Drosophila melanogaster: one gene and its partners. The protein of the gene in region 1 purifies or fractionates together with the protein of each later gene. This does not show direct contact. Each region holds a gene or a part of one and is shown on either strand. Other genes may lie near its edges.

What was found.
Region 2: the proteins of Ccs (region 1) and CG6432 purify together in Drosophila melanogaster (affinity purification with mass spectrometry, with the first as the bait; one large-scale study listed by BioGRID). This does not show direct contact.
Region 3: the proteins of Ccs (region 1) and Yod1 purify together in Drosophila melanogaster (affinity purification with mass spectrometry, with the first as the bait; one large-scale study listed by BioGRID). This does not show direct contact.

The regions. Positions count from the first base shown.
Region 1 is NT_033778.4:10,120,583-10,124,549, forward strand, and holds Ccs (copper chaperone for superoxide dismutase), read right to left. Parts: upstream 1,993-3,967; 5' UTR 1,943-1,992; coding exon 1,928-1,942; intron 1,877-1,927; coding exon 1,233-1,876; intron 1,172-1,232; coding exon 1,036-1,171; 3' UTR 991-1,035; downstream 1-990. Other genes in the region: dmpd (dampened), read left to right, coding at 1-444.
Region 2 is NT_033777.3:24,334,912-24,341,734, forward strand, and holds CG6432 (uncharacterized protein), read left to right. Parts: upstream 1-2,010; 5' UTR 2,011-2,122; coding exon 2,123-2,159; exon of another isoform or gene 2,160-2,337; intron 2,338-2,935; coding exon 2,936-3,953; intron 3,954-4,009; coding exon 4,010-4,320; exon of another isoform or gene 4,321-4,384; coding exon 4,385-4,530; intron 4,531-4,643; coding exon 4,644-5,156; 3' UTR 5,157-5,734; downstream 5,735-6,823. Other genes in the region: Dis3, read left to right, coding at 1-600, 657-1,325, 1,383-1,758.
Region 3 is NT_037436.4:5,131,985-5,136,759, forward strand, and holds Yod1 (Yod1 deubiquitinase), read left to right. Parts: upstream 1-1,886; 5' UTR 1,887-1,955; intron 1,956-2,235; exon of another isoform or gene 2,236-2,361; 5' UTR 2,362-2,406; coding exon 2,407-3,450; coding exon of another isoform or gene 3,451-3,522; 3' UTR 3,523-3,686; downstream 3,687-4,775. Other genes in the region: CG15213 (uncharacterized protein), read right to left, coding at 914-1,084, 1,144-1,161; CG10674 (uncharacterized protein), read right to left, coding at 3,856-4,026, 4,094-4,249; CG4611 (uncharacterized protein), read left to right, coding at 4,488-4,775. UniProt on the Drosophila melanogaster protein: Hydrolase that can remove conjugated ubiquitin from proteins and may therefore play an important regulatory role at the level of protein turnover by preventing degradation. Involved in the regulation of DNA damage repair.

The DNA.
Region 1 (3,967 bases):
GATGTGGATGCCGAGAGCGATGTTAGTGTGGGCGAGCTAAAGGAGTTTGCCTCGCCGGATGAGTCCACCACGGCCAAGTTGCTGGCCGTGAGCACAGCAGCCAAGAATCTTAAGCGCAAGATGCCATCAGAGAGCCAGTCCAATGCCATAGCGTCCACCTCGAAGGCAGCAGAGGTTGCCCAGTCCCAATCGCAGCCGATGGCCACCGGAAATGCAGGAGCTGCCAAAGCTGCGGGAGGCTACTCCCCAAAACTGTTTTATGGCAATCATCAGCGAAGCGGCGTGATTGTCAGTCCTGTGTCCCAGAATCTGGGGGTGGCTGCGACAACGGACAATGTGGCGCCCGGATCGGAGGCTCTTGAGGAGCCGGAGGAGGCGAAAAAAGCACGTAGAGTACAAAAGGCCAACAGATATGTAAATACGCCCGGCAAACGCAGTAAATAAGCATTAGGACCTACGCATATACACTTTACATATTTTTTACCACTTATTTACATATAAAGCGTGCATGCCGTCGTTCACCTGACCCCACGGATGTGGATTAGGGAACGAGGCATGCGCCGTAGTGTTAACGGAGGAATCAAATTAATATTATATACACATATATCTATTAATATCAAATGCAATAGGCATTTCGAATATTATTCATTATTATTATTATTATTATCACGTACAACAAGTGTCTGTATGTTCTTCGGTTTTAACGCCCCGCAAAAACAAATTGTAGTTAACCACGAACATCACACGAATCCGGCAGTCATTGGCAGAGCAAAACAGATAATAATAATTAAAAAGCAAATTAATTTTAACTAAGAAATACAAAAAGAAAAACAGCAAAGAAATATTTTAAATAAAACTTTAAAACCATTAAAATCAACTGCTACGAATGTGGTTTTTAGTATACTAATTTTAATTGCGGAACGAGAATTGATGTTCTGTGGACTTTGTCGCGACAGAAACTTCTAGAACAAAATGTGGAAAGTGACACCTAGAGATAAGATAATTTTATTTACAAGATTAAAGATGGAAACAAGTTTACAGCTTTTGTGAGCGCTCCTTGCCAGCCAGTGGCTTATTGCGTTCATCCCAAAGTGTGACCCCATCACATGCACAGATTCTCTTAAAGTTTTCCAAGATGCCCGCCGAACGAGCAATTATACCACACGCAATCCTAGTGGGAAAGGAGTTATACAAATCAATGATCAATCTGAAAGTGGGGCATATTTACATACCTTTCCCCAGAGTTGCCGTCAATCAGGCTCTGATCATTGCCCCCGCGTCCCAGGTCATCGGCATTGGCTGTTAGGACGACAGCCCTTCCGATTATGTCCCAGACCTCTAGCACTGGATCCACAAATCTAAAGGTGGCCCTGCCGTTTTCATCCGCTCGGATGTTGCCAAGATCTCCGGCGTGCCGCTCCTCTGCCCCAGCTGCAGGGCTTCCATGTGGCGACTGGCGGGGATTGTAGTGTTCTCCGACCGACGAGCAACCTGCGGAAGTGTCACCACTCTCGTGAATATGTAATCCGTGCAGTCCAGGCGATAGACCGTCCACAACGCCATCCACAACCACTCCAGGCTTCTTGTCTGCGGTAATGGTGGTAAACCGAACCACTCCCTGGATTGGTGTCTTGTCCACTACACTTCCTGTTGTGTTTATAAGGGCCACCGCCGACTGGCCGCCGAATCCGGAGAGTACGGCCCGGACACCTGTGGCTTCTATCTTGTCCTGAATCTCTGACCAAGGTCGTTGGGTTTGGATTATCACTCGACCTTCCTGGGTGTCAATTTCCACCTGGCCGACCCCATCCAGCGCCGAACGGAGGGCACCGGCATAGGATTCGTCACCTCTTCGCATCTGCACTGCAAATTCGATCTGCACATTAACATGGAAGCAAGTTTCCTGACCCGAATAACATATACTTACCTTAATGGAGCTCATTTTTATGGTCAAAGTGCCGACTAACAATGATAAACAAACTTTGGTATCGATGGCCGTCGATAGGTTCAGACAAATCGCGCCTTCTGTCATCGAAGAACGATAGGTTCACACGGAACGAAAGTTTAAGGCGTTTGTAAACCACTTATCCAATAAATTATAACGTTGAACTGATATTACTAGTTACGTATTAGAACACAGATGTAATATTTTTATCGTAGAACGTTTTACATTTACAAAACCAAAGTTACTAGCTTCGGTTTTGAACTTTTGCATAAATTGCGTGCTTTTTGATGAAGAAAATGAATTCTGGTATTTCTATTTAAGTCACTCCATATTTCCAAAATGACTATATTAATAATATTTGTGATGTTTGAAATTTATATAGATTACAACTATATTTTAAGTGAATAGATTAAAGCTTAATTTAATAGGGCTAAGTACCTTGGATATAATCATTGGTTTTCTGTTTAGTTTGACCAACAATTTTATAATCTTAAGCTGACTTTGTCCAACTCTTCTGGACCGATTCAAAACGCTAACCCCGAACTAGCTTAGATGCTAACTTATTTAATTTCCGTGCTAATTTTCAGACCTGTAGCTCCATTCACTTCATATTACGTTTTATAATTTTGGCTTAACTTTTCTTTATGGCCGCCGACAGTTTTAATCAATGGCCATAAAGAGTATTTTTAAGCCAAATGATGCTAATTTTTTGGAATTGATAGCGCTAATTTTTGTCTACAAAAACCGCAAGCGACAGATGCTGGCTTATTGAGGCCCAAAAAAAAAACGTGCAACCAATATGAATGAAGCTTTTCCATGCGCGCCACTTTATTGCAGCCAATTGCGCCTTGACTTTCATTGTGCAAAATAAATTAATTTCACTTGGACCCCGTTATTGATAGCAATTTAAAAACAATTGAGAAATATTTAATATTGCCTTCAATTGAAGAACTGTAAAAGGAAGCACTACAACAAAGAATTATGATAAAACCGTTCAATTCCCAAAAATTTGGCGAGTCGGCACATGGCTTTGTCAATTAAGGCCTTTCTTAGCACGTCGATCTAGGGATAGAGATGAATGATATCGGTGGATAACAATTAGTCGCTATTAGAGTACCGTTACTAGACCTTAAGTTCAACACTAGGAATGTAAGAAATTTAGTTTCTTTCCCAATGGTTATGTGGCTATTCACATTAGTAATATTATTTAATGTTTGTATTAACTTATATATAAGTTGAGTTAGTTCCGCAGATCCGTAATAATTTTTACAAGTCTGAGATGGTCCACCCTAACGACAGATCGACGCCATACGCCCTGAGCCACTCTGAAGAGAAGAACGCCCACACAAAAAGGCAATGTTCTCTTTGGGGCAGCGACTAATGGCAACAGCTGTTCTTGTTGATAAATAGCATAAAGATTTTTGTCGCCTTGTTTTGTGAGAGAGCAACAAATGCAAGTCAGCCTCTGAAACAATCACCTGGAAGGATACGTGTGTCGGGAATGTAGATAGATAAGTTGGTCTGGATAGTGCGTGCCACGGAAAATTAGCCTTGCCTTTGTTTCACTTGCATTCCACAAAGACGCACGCACACACACACGTGCACAGAATGACCCTTACAGTGGGGCTTTGGTATTGGTATTTGTATTTGCGGGTCGAACGCCACGCTCTTTTGGAGCGAGAGTGAGAGAGCGAAGAGAGAGAGAAACATAACGGGCTAGTGTATTTATTTTAATATTAGCTTTGTGACGTTCGCTCACCAAATCAGTATTTTTCGTACCATCGGCGTTAAAACACATGTTCAGCGATTTAGTGCGGGAGTGTAAACTAATCTGAGTAACAACAACAGCATCGTCGGCAAAGCAACAACAACGGCAGCAGAAAATTTTAACACGTTGACGCTTTTTCTAGTGTTTATAGCGAGCGGAAAAGCTTACTAAGCGCGTAACAAGCGAGACCCCGAAATCTTTTTTCATCTCGGTCTTTTCGCCTTTGCGTCTTTGAGTGTGCGTGCCAAAATTCA
Region 2 (6,823 bases), on another chromosome or scaffold:
CGAGAACGAGGTTATCCTGCTGGAGCACGACGTCCCGCACTGCAAGTTCTCGGACGAAGTGCTTAGCTTCTTGCCGAAAATGCCCTGGACAATTACTGACGAGGACTATTCCAAGCGTGTGGATCTGAGGGATCTGTACATTTGCTCTGTGGATCCCCCGGGCTGCACGGATATCGATGATGCTTTGCACTGCAAGGAACTACCGAACGGCAATCTGGAAGTGGGCGTTCACATAGCCGACGTAAGTCACTTTATTCGTCCAGGAAACGCACTGGACATGGAGGCAGCGGCCAGGGGAACCACCGTGTACTTGGTGGGCAAACGAATCGACATGGTACCCGAGTTACTCAGCTCAAATCTCTGCTCATTGGTTGGCGGTGTTGAGCGATTCGCCTTCTCCTGCGTGTGGGAAGTGGACAATGAAGCAAATGTGTTAAGCAAACGCTTCCACAAGAGCGTCATCAAATCGAAGCGTGCCATGACCTACGAGGAAGCGCAGAATATCATCGACGATGCCACGCAACAGAATGAAATAGCCAAGTCCCTGAGAAATCTTAATCGGTTGGCCAAAATACTGAAAAAGCGACGAATGGATAATGGGTAAGATTATATTAACACCTCGTAATCAAGTGAACTAAGGCATCCATAATTTACAGAGCCCTTGTCCTTGCCTCCCCGGAGATCCGCTTCCAGGTGGACAGCGAGACACACGAACCACTCGAGGTGGAGGTGAAGCAGATGCGCGAGACGAATTCCATGGTGGAGGAGTTCATGTTGCTGGCCAACATCACGGTGGCCGAGCATATCGCAACGGAGTTCTCCGAGTGCGCTGTTCTGCGTCGCCATCCTCGGCCACCGCCTACCAATTTCGATCCGCTGGTAAAGTCTGCGCGCTACCAGGGCTTCCAGGTGGACATCAATTCGGGACTGGAGCTGTCGCATTCACTGGACAAGTGTGTCAAGGCGGATAATCCGTACTTTAACACAATGATCCGCATCCTCACCACACGCTGTATGATGCAGGCAGTGTACTTCATCAGCGGCAGTCTGCAGAAGGAGGAGTTCTTCCACTACGGTCTGGCTGCTCCCATCTACACGCACTTTACGTCGCCCATTCGTCGTTACTCCGACATTATGGTACATCGCCTGCTGGCCGCCTCAATCGGCGCGGATAGCACCTATGCCCAGCTATTGGACCGAAAGTCAAATGAGGAGCTGTGTCATAATCTTAACTACCGCCACAAAATGGCTCAGTACGCTGGTCGCGCATCAGTGGCCCTCAACACGCATCTCTTTTTCCGCGGCAAGGAGGAGGATGAGGAAGGGTGAGTCGAAGAAACCACTAGTGGGCAACATTCTTTTCAATTATTACCCATCCCTAGATATGTGCTATTTGTGCGCAAGAATGCTCTGCAAGTGCTAATCCCCAAGTATGGCCTGGAAGGCACTTTGTATCTAAAGTCGGACAAGGATGGCAAGGACGGTGTGGAGCGCGTCAAGAGCGAGATTGTCTTCACCTTCAACGAAGAGGATCATACACAGCGTTGCGGTGACGTGGTGTTCCACTCCTTTGATCCAGTCACGGTTCGTCTTAGCCTGGATTCCAGCAATGTGCAGCACGAGAAGCTGATCTTCCGGCTGGTCAAGCCGTACATCAAGGGCTTCAGCGTGGAAACGACCACCGAAGGAACTGATAGCCAAGCGGTTTCTGCGGCACCTCCATCGAAAAAGACAAAGAAGGATAAGAAAAAGAAGTAATTCTTTGGATCTTTGCTTATGTGGAACTAGACTACGCTGAAGATGTGTAACTACAATCATTTCGTATAAATAAAATGTAAGGTTTTTAAATTCCGCTCCGTTTCGTAAACCTTTTCCACCGTTCCGGCTCTGCCGATCTCGGAGAGTTTCGAAAGCATACCTTTGATCGGGTGTTTTGTTTAAGGTTTTGGTTTCCAACTTGCGTTCTACATTCTCCAGACCCATTGCAAAGTTTCGACTACAGTGCGACGGTTGTGCTGAGCTCGTTTGATCCAAAAAATTCAAAAAGAATATATATAATAAATACATATATACATTAACTTGACTTGAATATATACAAGAACGGAAGTTATACAAAGTTACAATGGAACCCGGTCCTAGTGCAGTGAACTACGAAGGCAGTAAGTCGAAAAAGGTTTCGAAATTCATATGAAAAGGCTAAAAAATTTAATCAATGAGTAATCGCGTGATTTTTGCGGAACATATATTTATATCGGTACACATATTTTAATACGCATATTGAAAACATCAGTTAAAATAAACAACTTTTAGAACATCAAATAAAGTGCTTGGAAAACTAATATGCCAACTTTCGTTGTGATCTAAATGAATTCTATAGATTTTCGAATTTTCCAAAAACTATCTAAGTGGAGTCCAACTTTTTACAATATTCTTGGATTCTTGCAGTGCGATGTAGATAGATAGATAATTTATGCACAAGAGTTCAAGGTGATAAATATTGTGTTTTAAACCACTGCTCGCCAATTAAAATAATGAACTTTCGATGCGACTTTGAAGTGATTAATTAGTGTTTAGTTGTGCGCCCAAACTGTCGGCACTAAATATTAATGAATTCGATTAGCTTATTCAACAAGGAGGCTTTTAGGTCCAATATCCATCGCCAATCACGTGTGGATTATGCTCGGCGTCTGGGTGAGCCGCACACCCGACGCATATGTGCAGTACATGGGTGCCAGGTTGGGTATATAGAAATCAGTTGAGTGACCGCGACATTTGGAAAATTTAAAATTCAATGTGCCTGGTGTGTGTAAGGTGGTATGGAGTGGAAGGTTTGTAATTTAGTTTGATAGCCTAATTAAAAGCAGCGATTAACCCAATAGAGGAAACAATGAACCCGCCCATCTAATGGTCACCTGCTGCTATACCTTTTCCGCAGGTGAATCTGTATGCGGCATGCCGGTGGAGGCTCACGATCCTCTCTACTTGAAGGCCTATCGCCAGAGTGTTCAGAATCCGGCTGCATTTTGGGAGGAGCAGGGTAACCTGCTCGACTGGGATCGGCCATGGGAGAAGGTACTGGACAACAGTAATCCGCCATTCACCAAGTGGTATGTGGGTGGCTACCTGAATGCCTGCTACAATTCCATTGATCGCCACATACTGGCCGGCCGCGGCTCCAATGTGGCCCTAATCCATGACAGCCCCTTGACTGGCACACTGCGTCGGGTTACCTATCAGGAGCTGTATGACCAGATCGTTCTGCTGGCAGGCGGCCTGGCCAAATTGGGCGTGGTCAAAGGTGATCGCGTCGTGATCTACATGCCCCTCATCCCGGAGACCATCATTGCCATGCTGGCAATTGTGCGTCTGGGTGCGATTCACTCCGTGGTCTTCGGTGGCTTCGCTGCCCGCGAACTCTGCTCGCGCATCGAACATGTGGAACCAAAACTGGTGATCGCCTCCAATGTGGGCGTGGAGCCGGGCAAAGTGGTGCCCTACCTGGACATCCTTCATTCAGCTATTAGCATGTCGCGATGGCGACCACCGCAGCGTAACATAATCTTTCGGCGTGATAATGTTTCGCCAGATACCACCAAACTGGATCCTCTGACGGATGTGCTCTGGTCGGATATTCTTAAGATGGCGGAGGGCGAGCGGCCCATAGCCTGTGTTCCCATCGAGGCCAACGATCCTTTGTATATCCTCTATACCTCTGGAACGACGGATAAGCCCAAGGGAGTACTTCGCACCATCGGAGGTCACTTGGTTGCTCTGGTGTACACGCTGAGAACTCTCTATGGCATCAATCCTGGCCACACCTGGTGGGCGGCCTCAGATATGGGCTGGGTGGTGGGTCACTCGTACATCTGCTACGGTCCACTCTGCCTCGGAGCCACCAGTGTTATGTACGAGGGTAAACCGGACCGTACTCCTGACCCGGGTCAGTACTTTAGGTGAGTGGTTATGCCCCACCTTGTTTCTTACACATATTAATTGTACCTATATTCAGGATCATCGACCAATACCAGGTGCGCTCGATCTTCTCGGTACCTACCTCCTTCCGTGTTATCCGTCGTGCTGATCCGGACATCAGCTATGGGCGACAGTACTCCATGAAGTCGCTGCGTGCCATCTTCATTGCCGGCGAGCACTGCGACTACGAGACCAAGTCCTGGATCGAGAAGACCTTCAAGGTGCCCGTGCTCAACCACTGGTGGCAGACGGAGACTGGTTCCGCGGTCACCGCCACATGCCTGGGCTTCCAGCAGAACCTCAGTCCGCCCACTTACTCCACTGGCTTGCCACTCATGGGCTACGACGGTGAGTGATGCTCCAGTTAGCTTGGCTGAGTGAGGATTTAAGTCCTGGGACATCTCTCTTGCAGTCAAGATCCTGAAAGCGGACGGCAGCGAGGCGCAGACCTCGGAGCTGGGCAGGATTGCTCTTAAGCTACCACTGCCACCCGGAAACATGGCCACTCTTTACAAAAACGAAGAGCTCTTCCGCACGCTTTACTTTCAAAAGTTTCCGGTAAGTCACCAAAAGCAATTCCCACAACTTGTTAAATATCATTTAGTTACTATAGTATAGTGTATGGCTTATATCTGAAATCTTAAAGATACTTTATTTTATCTTACACTTAGGGTTACTATGATACAATGGATGCGGGCTACAAGGACGAACGTGGCTATATCTTTGTGACAGCTCGCGACGATGATGTAATCAATGTGGCTGGCCATCGCTTGTCCACCTCTAGCCTGGAAGACGCCGTGCTTCGGCATCCGGACGTCGTGGACGTGGCCGTTTTCGGGGTGCCCGAGGCCACCAAGGGACAGGTACCACTGTGCCTGTACATTCCGGTGGAGAACTGCAAGAAGACCGATGCCAAGCTGTCGACGGAGATCATCAAGCTGATCCGCGACGTCGTAGGCCCCATAGCCGCCTTCCGGCTGGTCACGTCCGTCAACAACCTGCCACGCACTCGATCCGGTAAGACGATGCGCAAGGCGATGGCGGACTTTGCCCGCAATGAGCGCGTTGTCCTGCCGGCGACTATCGATGATGCCAGCGTGTTCATCGAGATCCGGAGGGCTCTGAACCAGTTGGGCTATGCCATGACCGCACCGGATCCGATTGTGGCCAAGTTACTCGACTGATGGGTTGCAAGGACCCTCAACCTTAACCTTAGCTTGTACGATACGATTCCCAAGAAGTAAATAAAATGTAAGCCAGTTTGGCTGGGGGTTTTCCTCCGCTTATCTGCGTAGGCCGCAAAGTGGCGAAAATAATTTAAATGTTAATCGATGGCCTACATGGTGACCCATTCGCGCCCATTCGCCCATTATCCACTTTCCAATTCCTCCCTGGCGCACTGACGCACTATTCGCGTACAACTGACACCCAATCAGTTTATTCAAATTTTGTGCAAATTTCGCGACACATTGTTGGGCCAGCAAAGTGTGGATTTTTTTCGAATAACCAACACCCCACATTTCGCAGTTCGCATATGGCACTGGCATTGCATTATTTGGGCAGGATTTGTCCACATCAAAGATGGACAGCAAATGTCAGGCAGCCAACCATAACCCAATTAGTGGGCTTAACGTTGGTGGGCATCGTGGAGTGCATTATCCATAAGTAATCAAATCCAATTCTATCTTATTATATTAGCAAAGTCCATTTTGTGTGGGTATTTCTAGAGGCAAACAATGACATATAGTCATAAGGCAAACACAATTATACAAATAGTTTAATAAAGCGTACATATGCATTTCATTTCTTTTGTTGAAAAATAAAACTCTATTATATTTTTAATTTCTAATTTTTAAATGACACTCGTAACTATGACTATGCTTTTTATGGTAAATTCTCTATCTTCTCACTGCATTAGTCACGCTGACTATAACAAAAGGAAGGCAAATTAGATTTCCTTCTTGCTTAATTCGAATTTTCCCGGTCCAAGCCCAGTTTATATGTGCATCGTGGTCATCCCACTCCAAGATACTCATCTCCTGACGTCACAGTCGAAATTCTTATCGGGGAACTAACTTGGCATGCGAAACACGCACAAATTCAAATTAATTGCAACGCTTCGCCTGCAAATCCCAGTCTCATAAACCGAAGATTACTATGCTTACGCATCCGTGGAGCAAAATGCAGTGGCCAGGACAACGGCTTTAAAGTTGCGGCTTAAAGCAGATCCCCGTGGGTTGGACAGCACAATATTCGATGGTGGCCATAAATGATTATAACTACCCATAAATAGGTGATGGTTGCCGGCCACTGATCATAAAGCCGACAACTTTTACAGCATAATTAAGAGCTGATAAAGTTATATAATAGATAAACATATTGGGGAAACTCGGTGGGCTCCCATTTCCATTCCCACATCCGCTGCTACCGTCCAACGTTTGCCAAGTGCACACATCGTGCTTCGGTCGGTGTCGGTGGCGTATGAGTGATGTTTGAGCACGCCCACCAAGTATCCTGCAAGGAGCGCAACATGTGGTCCCACGTCCCCCATCACCAAGTTTTGTGCGAATCCTGCGTGTATATTGCCGTCAGCCAATCAGAGGCCACCGCGGCATCTGCGCTCGTCCTCGGCGGAAGTAAATAAAAGCGGATGTCCTGGCTGGACAGGACATCATTCGAGTGCTTGCGTTCAACAAGTCCAGCAAACAGAGCAGCAGCTGAACCCCGGTGTTAACAACTAACAAGTTTGTCCATTAACTTCTTTGTGGAAGCACCGATACCTCAAAGCCCTCATCAGGTGGGTACTTGTGTCTTGAGATGTGCAGAGTGATAGATACTTTAGAGGAATAAC
Region 3 (4,775 bases), on another chromosome or scaffold:
CTTGCCTCCCCCACTACATTCGATTTTCAAACCGTTTTGTTTAGACAATACCCAATAAGCACAAACACACAAACACACACAAAAGCACATACATACGAGTAAAGTATACGTAATCGTAACTAAAATAAATGTTATTTTCATACACGTCGGCTTTTCTTATATCATCGAAGCGTCGGGGATGAGATCTCCATGTGTGTCCAAAAAGGAGCTAATGACTGGCAGCGGGTCGGGTTTTTGTTTGCCTAGATCTGAATAAGAAACCCGTTTCGGATCGTTTCTGGGTAGAGAGTGTGAAAAGCGAACGGAATCTTCCTTACATGCGTATAAATATTGGCCAATCTCAGTCGTAAATGAATCAAGTGGGTTCAATGATGTGCTAATACAAGGAGCCCACTGTGAGATTAATGATCATACCTACTTTCATTAATTGGCATGATTAGTTAACTTGATATGCCAGTAATATTATAGCTTAACTAAATATAATATATTAAATATTTTCAAGTATCAAAATTATGTAAAAAGTAACGATAACTCATCACATATTGACATATTGAGAGCTGGTCACGAAAAATCGGACATGATTGCCATCAAGTTGAAGCACATGGTTCCAGCCTTTCAACTTACCATAAATTTTAACATTCAGGTGTATTAGTAGTATTAGGAATGATTTTAATGTGATCGTAAAAAAAGAAAATTATTTGGAATTGAAGGTTGGACCTCTTCAAACAAAAGACTTAAGAAGCGAACTTGTTTTTTTTTTGGGCACCATTTTGTTTTAACCTTGCAATAAAAAATGAATAAGTAAAGGTTTCGTTACCAAATACTTTCTTTAATTTCACTCTTGTTTTTCTTCTTAAAAACCTAAACACATGTTAAGTTAAACTATAAATCCATAAATGTGAGGGTGTGGTGTCTAGCCCAGGAACAGCAGCTTCTTGAGCAGCTTCAGCTTGAGCAGGAAGGATTGGTCGTCGGATGGGTTGACGGACTCACTGCCAGGACCTTCGAAGCCATCGGGAATGGCCTCCTCGCGAGGAGCAGCACTGGTGGCCATGAAGCACACGGCAAGGCAAAGGAAGACGCTCTGTAAAGGAAGGGTCAGTAAAGTTCCTTGGTATTCCGTGTCGATTTTTAGTGACGCACCAGGAGCAAGAACTTCATGTTGTATGTGGCTAGATGTATGTAGTAATCGATCGATGGATTCGCACTGCGCGTTGACAGACCTGCTTGCACTGATCACCAGACCCCGCCGACCCGTCTATTTATATGCCTGTTCAGTTGAGAGTGAGTTGCTCGGCCGGCAGACCGCTCGTCTTTCATAGAAACTAAAACAACGCGAAGCATCAGCCAAAGATTCAGTGATTCACATGTCGGCGGGCGGGGTGGTATATCAATCTGTTTGGACTATTAAAAGTGATTTTAGTCCAACACGCAATGTGATAACAAAAGCCAGGTTCCCTTTTTCGTAGCCAAGTAGATTACCTTATTGTGGTGCCATTGTTGAACTTGCGACGCCTTATGTTTGGGCAATTTGTTGACTTGCGGTTTCTCCGGCTTCACTTCTTTTTGCTAATCGGTGTTTCCTTGGTTCTGGGTTCTATTTGACTTGGCCATTAGCTGCGAGCGGAATCTCTGCTAAATATTAATTAGCAACTTGACATTGGCCTTAACGTTCAGATCAGCCATTAGCTTTTCGTTCACACCTCCATAATAGGCTAGAGTAGCTGAATTATCCGAATATAGTTATATTTTTAAGTGTGTATGCTGGCAGACGGCGAATAACCCATTGCGCAAAATTGATAAGATTTTGAGATTTAAATTTAAGCAGGCGGTTTGAAAATGCCGACCTGCCAACTTTTCGAAATTAGCTGCATTGAGTAAATTAAAAGTCGAATGTAGAGTTATTTGTAAATTTCTAAATATTTCACATCCAAGCTAAAATCTGTAAAATCGAAGTAATTTTATTCTTATAATTAAATGTGTTTACATTTTAATTAAGATTTGCTTTCCATAATTATCAATCAAGATTTACAAAATGGAGTAGAAAAGAGGAAAATACATAAATCTCCTCTTTGATTTTCCCACTTTTGAAAATTTAAATAAATAGCGCCAATTTTCCAGTGCTGCCACTCTTATCAAAAAGTTTGCAAGAGAACAAAAAATCGATTGGCCTCGCCAACAACATTACTCACTGCACTAATCGATTATAATTATATATTAAAGCACAAAAAATACCAACAGATATCGAAATTCGATAGCATCGATACGCTGTAACAAACAAATAAAAAAAAAGAAACAAATTAGTCAAATTACAAAATTTATCAGTTATCCAATTGCACACAAAAACCAACTCAAAATTAGCCCAATTTCCATCGCAGGCCCACACGAAGAGAACAAACGGATACAATGACGGGTTCGTTCAGTGTGAAGCTCAAGTCCAAAAAAGGTCAATTCATTGTCAACGACCTGAACGAGCATACGACGCTGGGGGAGCTGAAAACGAAAATAGTCCAGGCCACCGACATCGAAGCGACGCAATTGCACGTCCTAGTAGGCTATCCGCCCAAGCCATTGGATCTCTCGCAGCAGCAGGAGCAGCGCGCCCTCAAGGCGGTCGGAATCAACAGCGGAGAGACGCTGATTGTGGAGGAGAAGGCTGCCCCTGCTCCTGCTGCCCCTGTGCCTGGCGGCACCACCGTGGAGGATGACGAGGCGCTGGCGCGTCGTCTGCAGGCCGAGGAGGAGGCACAGCTGCTGCAGGAAACCGCTGGCGGTCCAGTCGCCCAGGCAGCAGACTACCAGCTGCCAGTGGCGCCGACGGAAAGCGGACCGAATGGCGACTTTAATGGCATACTGCTGAAGAAGGTGGTGCCGGCGGACAATTCGTGCCTCTTCACCAGCATACGATTCGTGCTCAACGGGAAGGTGGACAACGAGGGCAGCGAAATGATGCGTCACATCATTGCGCAGGAGGTGGCCGCCGATCCGCAGAGCTACAACGACGCCGTGCTGGGCAAATCGAATGCCGAGTACTGCGCCTGGATACAGAAGGCGGATTCGTGGGGCGGCGCCATCGAAGTGTCCATACTGTCCAACTACTATGGCATTGAGATCGATGTGGTGGACATACAAAACGCCATTATCAATCGCTTTGGCGAGGACAAGAACTTTGGACTGCGTGTCTTCCTGCTCTTCGATGGCATCCACTACGATCCGCTGTACATGGAGACATCGCCGAGTGCTGCGCCGGCCACCATCTTCCCGGTGGAAGAGCTGGGCGTCTATCAGCAGGCCGAGCAGTTGGCCAACGAGGCGCAGTCCTCCCGCCAATACACCAATGTGGATAAATTCACGCTGCGCTGCATGCAGTGCGATGTCAGGCTGGTCGGCCAGGTGCAGGCCCAGGAGCATGCCAAGCAAACCGGACACAAGAACTTTGGAGAGATTTAATACGTCCTGATCTTCGGCACCGTCTACATTGTGGCATTCATGCTGTTCGCCTACTACCTGCTCACCACCTAGCCACAATCGCCGTGCGAGGAGTCATCTCATTAGCAGTACTACCTCCACATCACCGCCTACCTAAGTTATTAATTATTGAATTGAGCCCAGCCGCCTGTATTCATGTTAGTCCCCTTTTAATCCCTTTCGGAATGCAATAAAATATACCTTCATCTACACTAGGCAAGTCTTGGAGTTGGTACCTATATAGCTATAAGGTCAAGTTCCAGAAAGCTGTCCTGAATTCACAAGGCAACCAACTACGTACGTACTTTTTTACTGAGCGTCGAACAAAACCGAGGCTCTCAACTGTTCAATTACATTAAATTTAAAATAGTTATCTTAGGTCCAGTGCTAGGAAGCCCATGGTGGGGTCATGGCAGCGGGATTCTGGAGGTAGGACATCACCACCGCACTGACGCTCAACATAAAGGAGGAGAGCACCTGTTTGGCATCGTCGCTGGCCCGAGAACTGGCGAAACTAATGCAGGAGCAGTACAGCGCAAACCAGGCGCACCACTTGAGCTGTGTAGGTGGGTTACATACTGATAAATGCCAAGTCACTTGGTTGTAATCTTTGGGGTGTTATTACCTTCATCATCAGTCCACACATGGAGAAAATCATGCCCAGAATGTTCATGTAATCCGGCATCATGTCCTCGTTGGCGCCGCCGCTCTGGCCCTGGTTCTTGGGCGCCTTGTAGCGGTTGATCTTCTCCTTGCGGCGCGGATCCACGGTCATGTTCATTTTTAATTTATTTAATTTTCACCAATTTAATCGAAAAACCAGGTCAGATTGCAATGGATGTTTGCGTGGAATGTGAATGCCGTGCAGGTTGCTTACGTTCTTATTTGACTGGCATTTCGGACACAAGGTGGCAACGCCCCTTCATCAGCTGTTTCTTTATTTACACCGCCGCCACACGCACGTTTAAAATAGTTTTTTTTTAATTACATAAAAATCACAGAAAATTGCAACAGATAACATGGCTCTGCGGTTGATTAGCCGTTCAATGAGCTGCCACATACGTGGCTTGCAATTAAATGCCACCGGAAGACGGTTAAATAGTTACAACATCAGCCGGCTGGTTATTCTGCCTGCAACTTGGTCTTGCTCACAAAATCGCCTGCTGCACGTGAGGATTACGGATCAACAAGCCGGTTTGGAGACCAAACGAGAGGCCAACAGGAACCAGAATCCTTTTCGCGAAGAAGTTTTTGAAGAACTTATCACAGCAGCACCCAAGGAGCACCAGAAGTTTAAGCCAGAAAAG